2 linked regions of the Drosophila melanogaster genome follow. The protein of the gene in region 1 interacts with the protein of each later gene in a pairwise test. Each region holds a gene or a part of one and is shown on either strand. Other genes may lie near its edges.

Region 1 (8,192 bases):
GGCGTATACCTGTGCCTGCTGATGGGCCTGCTCGGTGGATTCTTTGTGCCGCTGCACGAGTTCCATTTGACGCCGCAGGACGTGGATCAGATGGTCAGCAACGTGGCCTTCGCCTTCGACCTGATGCAGGACGTGGGCCTGCCCAAACCAAAGGCGCGGCCGGAGGACATCGTGAACATGGACCTCAAGTCCACCCTGCGCGTCCTATACAGCCTGTTCACCATGTTCAGGGACTTCGCCTGAGTGAAACCCGGATGGAACGAGCCAGCGGGTTGCAGGAGCAACAAGCGGCGCCAATTTTACATTTTATATTAACTTTTTGATAGTGTTTACACGCCTAATTTATGTGCGTTCTCGAAACTGATTGTAGGCGATGCAGCGGTTAAAGCTTACTGATCCTAACTCTCAAAACCACAACTAAATGCTGCGTCGCGTATAATCAGCCCAAGGAATGTTTATATATATATATATATATTTATGTGTCGTACGTCTAACCACTGCGATCTGCTCCAGATTCAGATTGCTCGGAACAGGAAGGAGCAGAGCAGAGCAGAGCTAACCCAAACCCAAAATCCGGCGGCCAGTTGTTAACTTGTCTTACTCACGTGCCAGACGTTGTAGTTGTTACTAAGTGAATTTATTGTATTAATACATTATTTGAACACAATAACCGAGATTGTGCCTTTAGATCACACAGAGCTTTTGCAAATTATGTCACAGATCAGATTTTAACGCTGTAAATGTAGAAGTTTACGGAAAAGTCTTAAAAAAAAATTTTATTGTGTACGTTAAAAATTTGGATCAGAAAAATCAATAAATATTGCCAATAGCATATGTGTTATTCTATTTTAAACAGTTCCAAGGCGCAAAATTTATCTGGGGCTGCAGCACTCACAAACGCCAGCTTCCATCCTATTCACATGTAAGTTCTTTCGAGCGTCTCGAATTGATTGAGAAACAAACCTTAGTAATTTTCTGAACGCTGTGCTATTTGAATTGTCGCGGTTGCGCGCGCAACTCGCAACGGTCTGGTATCGATCACAGCTGCGAGCAGGCTGCCAGATCGCTTCCCGTTCGGGAACGATTTCGCATCGATTTTCGATTGCTGGCCGGTATAATTTGAAAATGTTACTTTGCTGACCGGATTTTGGTCCTTGGCCAGATGTTGGCCATGAATCTAAAAGCCAGTATTTAGTAACTTGCGTTGATTGCAGCCGCTTAACTAAGCCGCTTAGCCAGATATGTCCTAATGTTATGTGTTTCGTTTCGAAACAAGGTGGCAACCATGCGCATGCTTTTTATGATTTTCACAATAGCCGAGCGAAGTTTCAAGATTCTAGAACTACCCACCACACCAACGCTTCTGCTGCGCCGCCAGTCCCACAACTACGGCTACGACTACATCAGCCCCACGCACATCGAACTCAGCCGGGAAGCAACTCGCCTGGTAATTCGCCGTCTGCAGCGCACCGTTCTCCGCCTGATCCGTGACCCGGACTTCATCATGTCTGCCGAGGCGAATCCCGAGATGGATAAGGAGCACCACGAGTCCCCATTCGCAGCGAACCGCAAGGCCGGTGCCAGCGGCGCCGGCAAACAGGACTCGAACTGCCGCACCTGCAACGATTTCAAGTCGTGGTCCAAGCAGCAACGCCTCATCTCCAACGTGCAGAGCGCCAAGGTGACGTGATCGCGTTGGCCACTTCGCCTTCGCAAGCAGGACGATAACACAAGAATCTCCCACTTTCATACTCCTCCAGGTGAAGCACATGGCCGCCGCCGAAAAGCTGACCGTCAACGCCGCCGAAGATCCGCTGCCCCGCGACGACTGCCCGCTGGACAAGGTGAGGCTGGGAATTTCCACCTGGGGACTGCTCCACACCATGGCCGCCTTTTACTCGGACAACCCCACGGACACCGAGAAGCGCGACATGAAGACCTTTTTTGAGGTTCTGTCGCGCCTTTACCCCTGCGAGTTTTGCGCCAAGGACTTTCGCACCGAGTAAGTGCATCTTCAATCCATTTGAAAACGCTGACACTTTAGCTGGACCTCTGTTGCAGCCTGGACGTCAACCCCATCAATGTGAACTCCCAAAAGGAGCTAGCACTGTGGCTGTGCAAGTTCCACAACCGAGTGAACGACAAACTGGGCAAACCGCTCTTCGATTGCACCAAGGTGAACGAGAGGTGGCGCGACGGCTGGCTAGACGGCTCCTGCGACTAGGCGCCGCAGCTAACCAGCGCCGAGAAGCCCCGTCTCCCGCCCGTTGCAGGTTGCCATGTTGACCAGACTTTGTCCCACATTTTGCTCGGCTGGCCCACAACTACAACCACGGAACACGGGACTCCTGCTCGGCGGTGTACCGCCGCCAACCCGAAACTGTGCCCTGTTTCTGGCCAGAGGCCATGCCCACCAGTCGGAACCTGCGTCAGCGTGACATTAAATTGAGTTATGTTGTAATAGAGCGACACATCGAAGGTCCATTGTTAAATGATTTGCTGGCTATGAACTCCATTAGAATATACACATTATGTTGAGGACCCGTATTATGCCTTCTCACTGGCCCTGCAGATATCGCAATCTCTAATCTGCCGACTGGCGTTTATTAGATTAGAATGGGGAAGGCAAATGCTTTCCACTTCGATAAGATGGGAGTGGAAAGATCTAAAGCGGAGTTGGAATACAATGCTTAGTTGGTTCGAAATTAGGGGATTTGGCTGATACTTATATAGTTTTTAGATTTCCTTTCTATAATACCTAAAGGACTAAAGGTCTTAAAATTTGTCTGCTCTGGTTATATTTTTTAATATTTAACTTAATTTTTTTTTGCAATCAACGAAACATTAACATTTTATTCATTTAACATTTTAATATGCTTAACATAAGAGATATAAAAATTAGTGGAATTTTCGTAAGAGTAAGCCATTATATGATTTACTTATATAACATGATTGCTCAGCAATAGTTTAGGTAGTTTAAGCGGGGAAATTTAAATTTGGCTAATTTAAAATATTTAATACCTCAAATTTAGATGAACGATATTTTCGATTCATAATTATCGGTGATAACTTGTTCGATAGCTCTTCGTTCAGAAATAGCCAGATTTGGCGGCGAAATAGCTGCCCCCGCAGCGCCGCTGCCCGCACATTGTCGTGGTAGCCAACACTAGCGCACATCGCACTACAGTTAGTTGCCTGCTGGCTTTTGCGCGTCGCACGTATCACTTCGTCAGATTTCTCGATTTGGTCGAGCTGAGTAGAGTGTAATTACCAAACAAAGAAATGCGCCTGGCTCAAATTGAATAAATAAAAGCGCCCGCCGTGTGTGACAATCACTTTGCCCACCCCCTTTGGCCAGAAAAGGAGCGCCACTAGCAGCGGAGGAAGAAGCAGCAGCACCATCACCACCACCAGTTGTAGTACAGGAAGAAGAAGAAGCAGTTGCCCTGAAAGAGAGAGAGGGTGCGAGCGAGAGAGGACGAAGCTAAGACAGGGCTGTTCGACAACCAGGTGTTTACATCCTGCTATCCACCATCTGTGTGTGTGTGCATGTCTGTGTGTTGTGTCGTCATCAAACAGCCGATTAAAATATTGAAATCCGTGCAATAAACAATAGTGTCTGTTCCCCTTTCATACTTACTATTTATTATAATTTTTTTTTTTTAATTTTTTCCTTGTGCAAACCCCCTCCCCCCACGTGCGGTTAATCGAACACTGAAGTGCGAACGCGAAATTGCGAATTGTAAAATTCACAAGGTGCCCAATTTGAAGCCAAACGAGATCCGTAGCCACATCGCAATAGCAGAATGGCCCCGGCTCTAAGCAAATTGGCCAACAACCAGAGCGCCATCGTCGGCGTGGCGGGCATGACGGCGGCCCTCTGGATAATTGCCTACGGAAAGATGTCCAACAAGAAGCGGTAAGCCCCCCCTTGATCTTAATTACGGATAATTGTGGCTCAACCATGTTATTTATGTTGCCTGTGCAATATGCAATATTCTACGAACATCTTATTGCACAAGGTCTCGGTCTTGGCCATCGATGTGTCCGTGATATTGACTTGAGTTTTGGATCGCTGTGTATTTATGTACAAACAGATTTGTTTGCGGGACATACGATGCGATGCCACTATTGTGGGTCATCTGGCGGACTGCAAAAACTGGTTTTCCGATGGCCGTTTCTGCCACACTGTATGCACTTCCCCCTCATTGTAGTCCGGTTTCAATTGATTCGTCCAGCAGCCGCGCACAGTGGGCCGGACAGTTCGTTTGCAGCTCCAAATACTGTTCTTTTCAATTGTGTTACCCATTGCCATAATCTTATAATAAGTTTGGCGACCACCAGCTTACGTTTTGAAGATTCTCAAAAAGATATTTTTAAGTGCAGTCCCAATACAAAAAAAAAGTCAACAGATCATCGATTCATTTAAGTAGATGTGAACCAAAGTAGCTGGATCTGTTTGCAGTCTATCCCTATTATGTAGATATACTGATATCTAGGATAGGTCTGAATGTATATATTGTCTGGGAGGAATGGAGGAATTCCGCGTACTTAGCAGAAGGTAGACTCAGATAGGCACTACATTTCCGGCCAAACAGCAAACTCGATTAGGAAAGCCTTCTCGGCGCCCTCGACTATTATGACCCGAATAGCCACTTCTTGGCGGCCTGCTTCATTGCGGTATCGCTTCAAGGATTTCCCCATCGAGCACCTGCGATGCGGACTTGATTCCCCGGTTAAGGGCCACGTTTCGGTGTTTGAATGGACTTGGTCTTTGCCGCTAATCTAATCGGCAACGCGCCAGTCTACAGCACTTCATCTATATGCCCCATTCCACTATCGCCACTCGTGCCGATTATGCTGTTGTTAACGCGCTCAATATTTGGTCATATTCGATGTGTGCGGGGTTCGGCGCGCAATTGACCGCTATCAGTCGATTTCATCTTATTGAATAAACTGAACGGGTAAAGCGGGCGCAATCGACTATTTGCATGACAGAGCCAATTAATTAGACAGATTGCGGCGGACAAGTGGAGTGGGTGGGTGATTGCATTGCCAGCCAGCCAGCCAGCCAGCCATCCGCATGGGATTGTGGGGGATCTGCCGTGGCTGCATGTGCCACTCGTTAATTGCTAACATTACTCCGAGTACTCGGAGTATGCCGAGCACTCCGATGTTGGATACCCAACCGGTGGCCATCACTTTCAGCAACTTCTCTGAAGTGCACTGCACTTTGGCAGGCGATCGAAATCGAGCATTTTAATGCGCTGTTTACTTTTTTATGCAACTTTTGCGAGCGAGGTAGCCGCCACTTGTGGATGGCCGCTAAATTTATGCACCATTCCATTGTTCGAATTTTGCACAGTGGATGGTGCAGTCGGTTCAATGGATGCAGTGACTGGACACTCCACAGTCCAACCAACCAAATGGGCTTCGCAAGTGGAGCTCCACTTCGATTATGCTTTCATATGAATCAGTGGTTGAATTTTGTGGTTCATTTCATATAATTTCATTTAATTTCATTCATTCTATGATTCACTTTCAAGTCCAAGAGCTAATCGCTGAATGATTAAGAACGTTGAAAGTTTAAAAGGGACTTTTCGAATGTGTCAACGAGTTTCCGAGTAGCAACGCCTCTTGCACAACTTTCAAGGCGCTTTTTTATCGGTGTTTTTTTTATAGCCTCATATCAAGGACAGGCCCTAGAATTGTTAACTGATATGGTACGGTTATGCTAGCTCGTAGCACCGCCAATAATGTCTTTGCAATCTATCAAGGGTTTGGACAATTGGACAACACACCCAAGCTCATTAGTCCAAAGGTCCAAACACTTTGACTTGACATCCAGCAGCCTGCCTTGCAATCGAACACGCAACCACCGGTGGGCAGTTTGCTTTTGGTGTTGCAACAACACTCGATTGTACCCCTTACCCGGACCCAAGTCCGTACCCATACCCACACACACACACACCCATTCCATGGATGACATGATGACACCCGGGTATAAAGCATAAACATTACAGCCGTGCCTTTTAATGACTTGCGTCGTGCCATCCACAACATTGGATGGAGAGAAGCGCAGAGGACCAGTGGCTTCTGGTTTCATTTTTCCATTTCCATTTCCATTCGCATTCCCGTTCCCATTCCCAGCTCTTTGCCTTCGAGATGGGTAATGGGTAATGGGGTATAGGTGTTAATTTGTGTACAACTTGCTCTGTTTTTCGCAGGTAGACACATTCTGTATCGCCCGGCCCGTCCCGCCGGCTGTTGCGCAATAGCTTGTGTGGCTGTGCGCGCTCCAGACTTTCGGATGGGGAAGTGGAAGAGTCGGATGGATGGAGAGACCTTGTGCCCGGGAAACGCTTGGCCCTCGATAATCGGATTGCCCCGCAAGGCAGCCATTTATCGTGTAATTTGTATAATTCTCGCCTTTACTCGGACGGTGCGTGAAATGAGATCGTAATTTCAATGCAGATTCGCAGCCGAGCTCTGACATTTGCACCTGTTGCGGATGCCACGTTGCCAAGGCCTGTATGTCTGTCTGTCTGCCTGCCTGCCTACCGCTCACTCACTTACTCACTCACTCACTCACTCACTTACTCGCTCGCTCACTTGCTCACTCGCTCTCACTTCTGAGACATCGCAAGCGGAGTGGAGTGAGCGTGTGAGTGCCGGCAGACTGACTACGGGTCTTGAGGTCTACAGGTAACAGCCAAGGCAACAGGTGATGAGTATGCCCGAGCTGTGTCGAGCTATCTGATTTTGGCCAGCGTTTATCAGACAAACTAGCTCGATAGCGGCTGCTATGCGGCACAAGAACCACTGAACTTTGATTGCAATCCGCGGCAATGTCTCTATCTGAGTCAGACGCCAACCGATCTTCTCGCGCCCGGGTTCAATGTGCCCCCCATTAGGCGATCGCCGGCGATTAGCGAAAGAGAGCTTTGGATGAATCGCAGGGGCAGGCGATTTCGGAATGGGAATGGGAATGGGAATGGGTATGGGTATGGCAATGGGAGCCACCGGTGTTGACCTATGGACCCAAACACATGTTCCACGTCTAGGCGGTGAAAACAAGTTTAATATACTACGAATCAAAAAAGGAAAACCACACGAGAGACAGCCAGACACACAGACGGATTGAAAGATAGATAGATGGAAACATATATATATATATATATATATATATATATAGAAATAAATACAAGAGCGCTATGAATAATTCAGTGATCTGCGCAGCGATATTTAAGAAATAACCAAGTCATCACGACTCGTCGCTTTTTCCAGCCTGCAGATAACCAAGGCGCGAGCTTTGTACTTTGTTTGGCCTAACATACCAGTAGCACCAGCACCAGCACCAGCACCAGCACCAGCAACACCAGCACCTCACATCTCATCACCCACATTATCCCATAGACTTCGAACCCTGGGCAGGTGGCGATTTTGGACTCCATCCGATTCGATACGATACGATCCGATCCGATCCGATCCGATCCGATTGGCGATCCAATGCCGGTTAGCCAATGGCCCAGTGGCTTGTGTTGAGCTGGTCAGCTCTGGGCACCGGTTTTCATCCGGACCTTGATCCCACAACGATTAGCAGCTGAAAAGAATTCAAACAAATTATCTCGGAAGCATTTCATGTAGCAAATTTGGGGAAATGTGCTTTTTTTTTAATGTACGCTCAAGCAAAAGTGATAACGAAAGCCCATAGCTTGTGAGTAATGTTTGAGATAGTTAAACTATTTAGCCGAATTTCCATGCAATCTAAAATAAATATTTTATGTTTTTTTTTTTTTTTGGAAATTATAATCGTTTTAATTGATAAAACTTATCGATCGGCTAATTAGTCGAAACATTTTGTGAATTACGCACGTTAAATGGTGGACTTAAAAAGTTAGCCAACTGATTTATTGATCGATTCCATGGCATCTTGTTTGGAAAAGTTTCTACATATATCTGCACAATATTGAGTACTTTGCTCACAGCGACTTCGCTTGCAGTATTGCTGCATAGACGGGCTAAATGTTTGTTTATCAAACGAATCGAATATTTAGAGTGACGATTTGTTAACGCACGCAAAATTTAGCAGGCTTCATGTGAATAATTTACCGGATTGTAAAAAGTACGAACGATGATCGAGTCGTTTTTTTATTTTTTTGTATTTATCTATTTGTCATTAACCAACCTAA
Region 2 (6,876 bases), on another chromosome or scaffold:
AAAAAGCAGCAGGAATCGTTGTCAAATGGTAACAAAGTGAAATCAACGCCGAATGCCAAGAATATCCAACCGAATAATAACAACAAACAAACCAACTTCAACAACAATAATAGCAGTAACAATAACAACAACAACAACAACAACAACAACAACAACAACAACAACAACAACAACAACAACAACAATAATAGCAGTATAGTGTCCAATAACAATAGCAAGAATAATACGTTGCCAATTAACGTGGCCCAGAAAACCAAACAACACTTTGAGGCGGAAAAGAGGATCCAGAGTATATCAATGGGCGCCACCACATTGCCGGGCTACGAAAATGTGCCCAAAATGGAGCGATCCAATAGCTTCTTACGCACCAAGCTGAATAAACTGATTAACCACCTGACGGGCAGCAAGGAGAATCTGTCGAGGACCGACAGCGATGGGGACTCCAGCCGCACACCGTACATATTCACCCGAAGTCGTTCGATGATCCAGATGAGACGACCGAATCGCCGCAGTTTCATCGAGCCCCAGCTGGAGCAACTGAGCGAGGAGACGGAGAAATCGGGGGATCTCACCTCACCGACATCGCCGCGGAAGACATCGGTGGCCGATCTGCAGGCCAGTTCGCCGGTGCTCCTGCGAAGGAGTGAGCTCAGCTCATCGGTGAGGACTCCAAAACGTCGACAATCCGCACAGCCCTTCACGTCGACTCCTTTGGAGGAGGTGCAGTCGCCGGCCCAACGGAAGGGCTCACTGATGTCGCTCAATCAAACGGAACCCGCCAATCCCCAGCTTAATTTCCAAAAGAGACGATCCAACACGCTGATTGCCTCCTTCAAGAGCACCTTCAGTGGATTCACTGGCAGTGGGAGCGGAGCCGAGAAAAAGGAGAAGATGAATCCCAAATGGAGTGCCTCGTTGCAATCCCTGCAGGCTATCGATAATATGGTTAGCTACGCCAACATGTCCTTCATCGACTACGACAAGTTCAATGGCTACGAGAAGCAACTGGAGCGCCAGCAATCGCTGATGAGTCTGGCGGAACAGCCGGTGACCATCGCCACCCAGCTGCCGCTGCCGCCTTCGGCGCTGGCCCACTCGCATTCGCCCTCTCCGCTGGGCGACAACTCGCGCACCTCCGTCCACCTTGGCTCATCTATGGATGAGTCGGTCAGGACGGTGGTGATGCGCCGCAGGAGGAGCAAGACCTCGTTGGAGGGCAGAAGCAAGACCTCGCTGGAGGGTAGGAGCAGCATGGCCAGCCTGAACAGTGCCTTCAATTTGGACACCGCCTACGAGCACAATCTGGACCGCGTACATAATGTCTATCGAGAGAGCTTGGACTCGCGAACCCTGGATCTGCTGAATCAGCGCACGCGGAACTCCTTCATCCATGATCAGGCGGTGCTCTTCGATGCCCTCAATCTGGAGGACGGCTCGGTGGACCTGCGGTGCCTCTTCCGTATGACGGGCGTTTGGAGGAGCAGAAGCATGCGGCAGCAGCAGCAGCAGCGGGAACGGGATGCAGTGGACGGGCGGGGGAAGCCAGGAAAACAGGTGAGTTGAGCTCAGCTCTTGTTAATTTATACGCAAGATTTGATCTTATTGAAAGATTTTAAAAAAGATGATCATATTCAAATATTATAAGTTCTTCAGTTGCAAAGTTAAGGGTGACTAACCTTTTTTTTTTATTTATTTATACACCATATGCATTTACGTAATGTGTGTAGTTTTGACTGTACCGTTTAATCTTTGACTCATTGCCATAAAGACTTCTGCGTATAGCTGACCGATAAATATAGGGCTTTATTCCGATTTATCAATGCTTCGTTGAACGCTTTCGATTTGCACCGGAAGTTGCAGTTTCATGGTTCCAGAGGAGGTTCGTCTTGAAGCGTCATCGATTTGGTTGAACAACTCATGAACTCTGTTCTCAGCAAAGAAATGAGTGATATATACCAAATTCTGCGAATCGTCTGACATTTTTCCTGTGTGCATCAGTTCCTAAACAATTAGTTTAGTTTTCCATCAAGTTCTTTAAAAGAATATTAGGTTCTTGGAGAGCAATAGGTTCTCTAGTACTAGTACTAAAAACAAATGAAATATCTCACCAATTACAATATATCAGTATCAGATCGCTTGGAATATGAAATTTCGATTGGGTGTTAGTTTAAAGTCGAAAAGTTTAGTCAACAAATCTAAGTTGTCGTTTTTTGACAAAAATTAGCAAAATGCTTACGTATGATGTATGATATATATAAATAATCTTTCATTAATTGCAATGATATCAGAAAAAAAGAAACTGAGCAACACGATCAATGGGTTCTGATGGTAATTAGTTGATTTAGGTTACAATTGATACTTACTAGTAAGTGGCATTCCATTGCATCCCCTTAATTAGTTCCCAAATGCACAAAAACTTTTATCCGTGGCGTGGTCTTAACTATTTGTATTTGCCAATTTAAGGATGTTAAACGTGAATGAAAATTGTAAACAGTTAGTGTATAGTACAGCGACAATTGACCCTTACGAACGTATAGTTGATAATTGATTGCGGATAATAACTAATTTGCACTTAAATCGATCTATGTATAAAGACAAATGTGGATGGTGTTTATTCGGCGGCTGCGATTGGTATCCCCACTATTCAGTTTCTACTGCGTGTAGTCGGTGTCGCCCTTCGAATAGTGTATGCAAGCCAACACGGTGTCCAGCAGGTACAGTGCGCCCTCGATAACGCACAGCGAGCCCATGGCAATGCCCACTTGACGCTCCGAGTTCACATACAGGAATCCCTCGTCGGACATGTAACCCTTCCAGTAGTGGAGTGCCACTCCGCCCACGGCGATCCACATGATGCAGCCAACCACGTTCATGATGGTGTCGCACAGCTCTCTGAAAAACGGAAAGCCATTGAAAACAAACAGTTGTGAGTTGAGAGTGTGGAATTAAGGGCGGAAAATACAAGAAAAGGAATAAGATGCGGGTCAAAGTTCAGCTATAATCAATATCGGCATTCAACATACCCCTTATGTTTGGTTGTGCCGAAGGCAAAGGCAATGGTGTGGCATCCAGTGTAAATCAAGAATCCAACCATGACGCCTGAGGCTACGATTTCCGCATCGGCGCTCTTCTCCTCGTTTAAGTTCCACGTGCCGCCGATGCCCAGGAATTCGCCACCATCGCCCCAACGGTACAAGAAGATGATCACCAGATTGATGATCTGCGAAAAAGGAGCGCACAGGAGAGCAATTAAATGAGGTCACAATTGGGAATGGGAATGAATGAATCACTTCTTGGCCACGCCTCGCCTTGCCGTACAACTCGGCGTATGAGTAACATTGCTAATACGCCAGGACTGATAAAACGCGCGCTTATCTATCAGCCGAGTTATTGCGACCACAAACAGGCTATTGCTCAATAGGAAGGGACCAAAGAAGCCCAAAACTTACCAGCTTCAGGGCCTTGATGAAAATAGAGCCTACAGTCTCCACGGACACCATTTCGCACTAGATATGCTGATTGCTCTTATCGCTGAGCTGGAATTTGGGCAAATGCTTTAGTTCACAGAGGGGTTTCTCCCAGTCAAGGGGCACTCACAATCTTTTCTGTAATTTTCACGCGGAAACTACAGCGAAATGATTCGTTTTCGTATCGTTGTCGTTCGTCGACTAAACTGAAAAATATCACTGAAAGGCAACCAACCAACCTGTCGCGCCCAGTTCGTCGTGTCGCCAAGAATTTGTAGCTTTTGCAATCAGAGCATACACGGTCAGCGATAAGATAAGATAGGGCTCACGATAACAGGTGCCGTTCGAAATGGGTTACTAATTCGTTGACGGTTCAACATGTTCAGGCTCCGAAGCCCAATGAAACCCAGATGCGCATGCGCCAGCCCCACCCGCGTATCTTATCAAAACGGCCTTATCGCAGCTCTGTCGCCTTACATCGCGATATATCAGGTGCTCCGATTTGCCGCTTTCCACAGCATTGTTACACATTATTCATGGCGGCCACAAAGCCACAAAACGGGGAAACATACCCGCGGCTCTGAGAGACCGGAAACAATTATTCTTGCGTCATCGATGTATTTCTGAAATACTTTCGTGGTGACCCATTCCCATTCCCACTGATAAAGCTCCCGGTGGTGCATCCCTCGAACAGATTAAAAATTCACTGACCTTGTCACGATTCCGATGATCGATAGCCCAGTGGATTCCAGCTACTGATTAAAAAGTCTCAGACACACAAAAAGTCACTGGAACCTAATCTGCATTTCAATTATCACAACCCTAGCACAATAATCGTGGCTGTAGGTGGCCCATGTTCGAGATTTCGAATCAATTGGAAGAGCACAATGCAAAATGATAGGAGCAATTGGGGAGCAAAAAAGCAACTTGCGGTTGATGTGGGGTTCCTCGATTTACATATTGCCTATTTATCACAGTAAAATGGTGTATAAAAATACAACTCTTGGATGAATGGTGCGTTTTAAGAACACTGTGTAACATGAAAAGCAAACAATTTTCAGGTCACGAAGAAAAGAAAGAACTTAGTTAGAAATAGTTACAGTCCCTTGTTTCTAAATTCAATGTTTAAAAACTAATTGAAAATGGATGCATATGGTTTTTGGACAAATGAATAATTGCATAAGTTTGGAGGGCGTGGGAAATTAACTATACTGCACATTTGGCACCTCGTGCCCTGTGTTTTGTATTTAAGGCCGACATTAAAATGTGCTTGTATAAATCATAAGTTCAGAACATGGAACAAACATGAGATCACACCTCATCAAGGGTTTTTTTTATGACCCGCATTGAGTAGCAAGTATACACACTGATATTCATGAGTACTATATATAAACAAGTATTATTTACGCTGTGCCGAGGGTATTATTGGATTTCATTTCAGAAAATTTAATTTTAGCATACAACTAACTTTCCAACCTAAGCTTTTCAAAATAAATATGTTGTTTTAGCGGAAATTGTCTCTTTTGTATACAAGTTTTTAAAATGTGATTAAACGTGCTTGAATGCCTTAAGAATAGTATTTGCTTAGGGAAAACAAGTAATTGAATAAGATTTATTTAATTAAAGGTAATAAAATTAAATTTGAGCAAGGTACATGGATACTGATTTATTTACATAGATCTGCTTTCCATTTTAAATGCAAGTTGTCTGATGCCTGGATAAGCAAAGGAATATCTTCCCAAATCAAGGCCAAAGGTTGTCGAGTTCTTTGTTTTCGTTCCCCCATTGCGAATGCCGCTCAGCACCGCGGATTCTTCCCCACTTCTCAAATCCCCATGTGGAGTCCCAGAAAGCAAGCGACGTTAAATTTGGAATTTGTCTCCTCTGCATTTGGTTTGTTGCGATGAATCATCAAGCATTCAGAGAGGTGGGGAAAAATCGGCGTCAGAACAACAAAAACCGGCATGCAACTTACACCAACACAAGTGCAGTTCTCGTGTGGTGGCCTCTCTTAATTAAGTAAGAAGAGAATAAAGAGCGAATCGCCTCGTAGCTATCAGCTTTCGTGTGCCTTCAAGCGTCACGATATTAAAGTGATTGAGATGTATTCAATGGATAGCACACATAAATAAACGATGTATGTATGCTTCAGTACTTGTAGAGCGAACCGAAACGAAATCAATATGTATAGATTGGACATATATATTATATATATAATTATAATATATATATATAATTCGCATTTCGGCTGTGAAAAAGTCGACTGGTCAGAACTTAAACTTAAGCGCACTTGCAGCATGGTTCTGTAGCAGCCAGACTCCTACAGCGACGCTTTACAGGCATTACATTACAGCACTGTAAAGTCTATGTCAAGCGAGAATATTCCTCAGATACAGATACAGAGACAGCAGTAAGTAACTTATGACCACTTGCACACCTTTTGGGGAAACTTACCTGCCTTACTTGGACTGGCGTCAATGAGGTGTGACGGCGATTTGGTAATGAGATTTCAGTTCAATCTTAGTGGGCGTATTTAAATTAATTCGCTAGACAGTCGAAAAGTGAGTCAGAGAATTACGAAGAGCACTGCTTTGGAGAGCTTTCGGTTTTGTTTTGATTATCAGTTTGATTCGATTTCGCCGGTTGCGTTGTTGCTATTTATGAATGAAAGTTGCGTTTGTTTACTTTTGCGCACAAAGCTCGAGAAAGAGAGAGAGAGGTAAAAGTGAGAGTAAGAGAGATTTATATCAAAATTTAAAAGTTTTCGCCACTCTAAATATTGCGGTAAACTTATATTGTACATATGCTTCAGAGCTGAAAACTTTAAGCGATTTATGAGTTATTTAGCACTTGACTTTCAATTAATCTAAACGTTCTGCGTTGAACAAACATCCTTTTCAACCCCTAAATATTTGCAAATTGAAGAAAATGTATTTGACCGGCGTTTTATGACATTTGCCAAACGCTTGTATTCATATTCATAGAATACTAAACGCACCAACTCACAGACGAGGCAAAAATATTAACTTGGCAGTGTTTATAAAAAGTGCAATATAACCTATGAACTTGCAGTAAATGTAGTTTTCTTTTCAAGTTAATTAAAATATCTGGTGTTTGCACTGATTTGCGAACTCTATTAGTTGTAATTTGATCTGTAACTTTCCAGTACCGTGCAAATTATATGTAATATTAAAGGATATTTACAAAATTAGATTTTTCAAAATCCGATTTCCTTTGATTTTCTATTTGTATGCTATTTGAAGTTTCCAGCTCTACTTTTCGAAACACCACTGTGGCAATACAGTCATAGACCTTTTTGTGGGCCTAGGCATATGACAGGGCCGCCTTGTTTAACCAGGCCGAACCAGGACTGCCGAAGTGCAGCTTCGTGTCGTTATCCTTATCAGGC

The links. Proteins that work in one complex are often made in the same cells at the same time.
Region 2: the proteins of Abcd3 (region 1) and Ssk interact in a two-hybrid assay, tested with the Drosophila melanogaster proteins (one large-scale study listed by BioGRID).

What each region holds. Positions count from the first base shown.
Region 1 is NC_004354.4:19,747,628-19,755,819, forward strand, and holds the start of Abcd3 (ATP binding cassette subfamily D member 3), read left to right. Parts: upstream 1-3,142; 5' UTR 3,143-3,510; exon of another isoform or gene 3,511-3,720; 5' UTR 3,721-3,806; coding exon 3,807-3,919; intron 3,920-7,243; exon of another isoform or gene 7,244-7,676; coding exon of another isoform or gene 7,677-7,717; intron 7,718-8,192. Other genes in the region: parvin, read left to right, coding at 1-243; Alr (augmenter of liver regeneration), read left to right, coding at 1,286-1,681, 1,761-2,002, 2,062-2,224.
Region 2 is NT_037436.4:20,185,336-20,192,211, reverse strand, and holds Ssk (snakeskin), read right to left. Parts: upstream 3,691-6,876; 5' UTR 3,501-3,690; coding exon 3,450-3,500; intron 3,221-3,449; coding exon 3,024-3,220; intron 2,893-3,023; coding exon 2,652-2,892; 3' UTR 2,433-2,651; downstream 1-2,432. UniProt on the Drosophila melanogaster protein: Required for assembly of smooth septate junctions (sSJs), together with mesh and Tsp2A. May be important for barrier function of the midgut epithelium.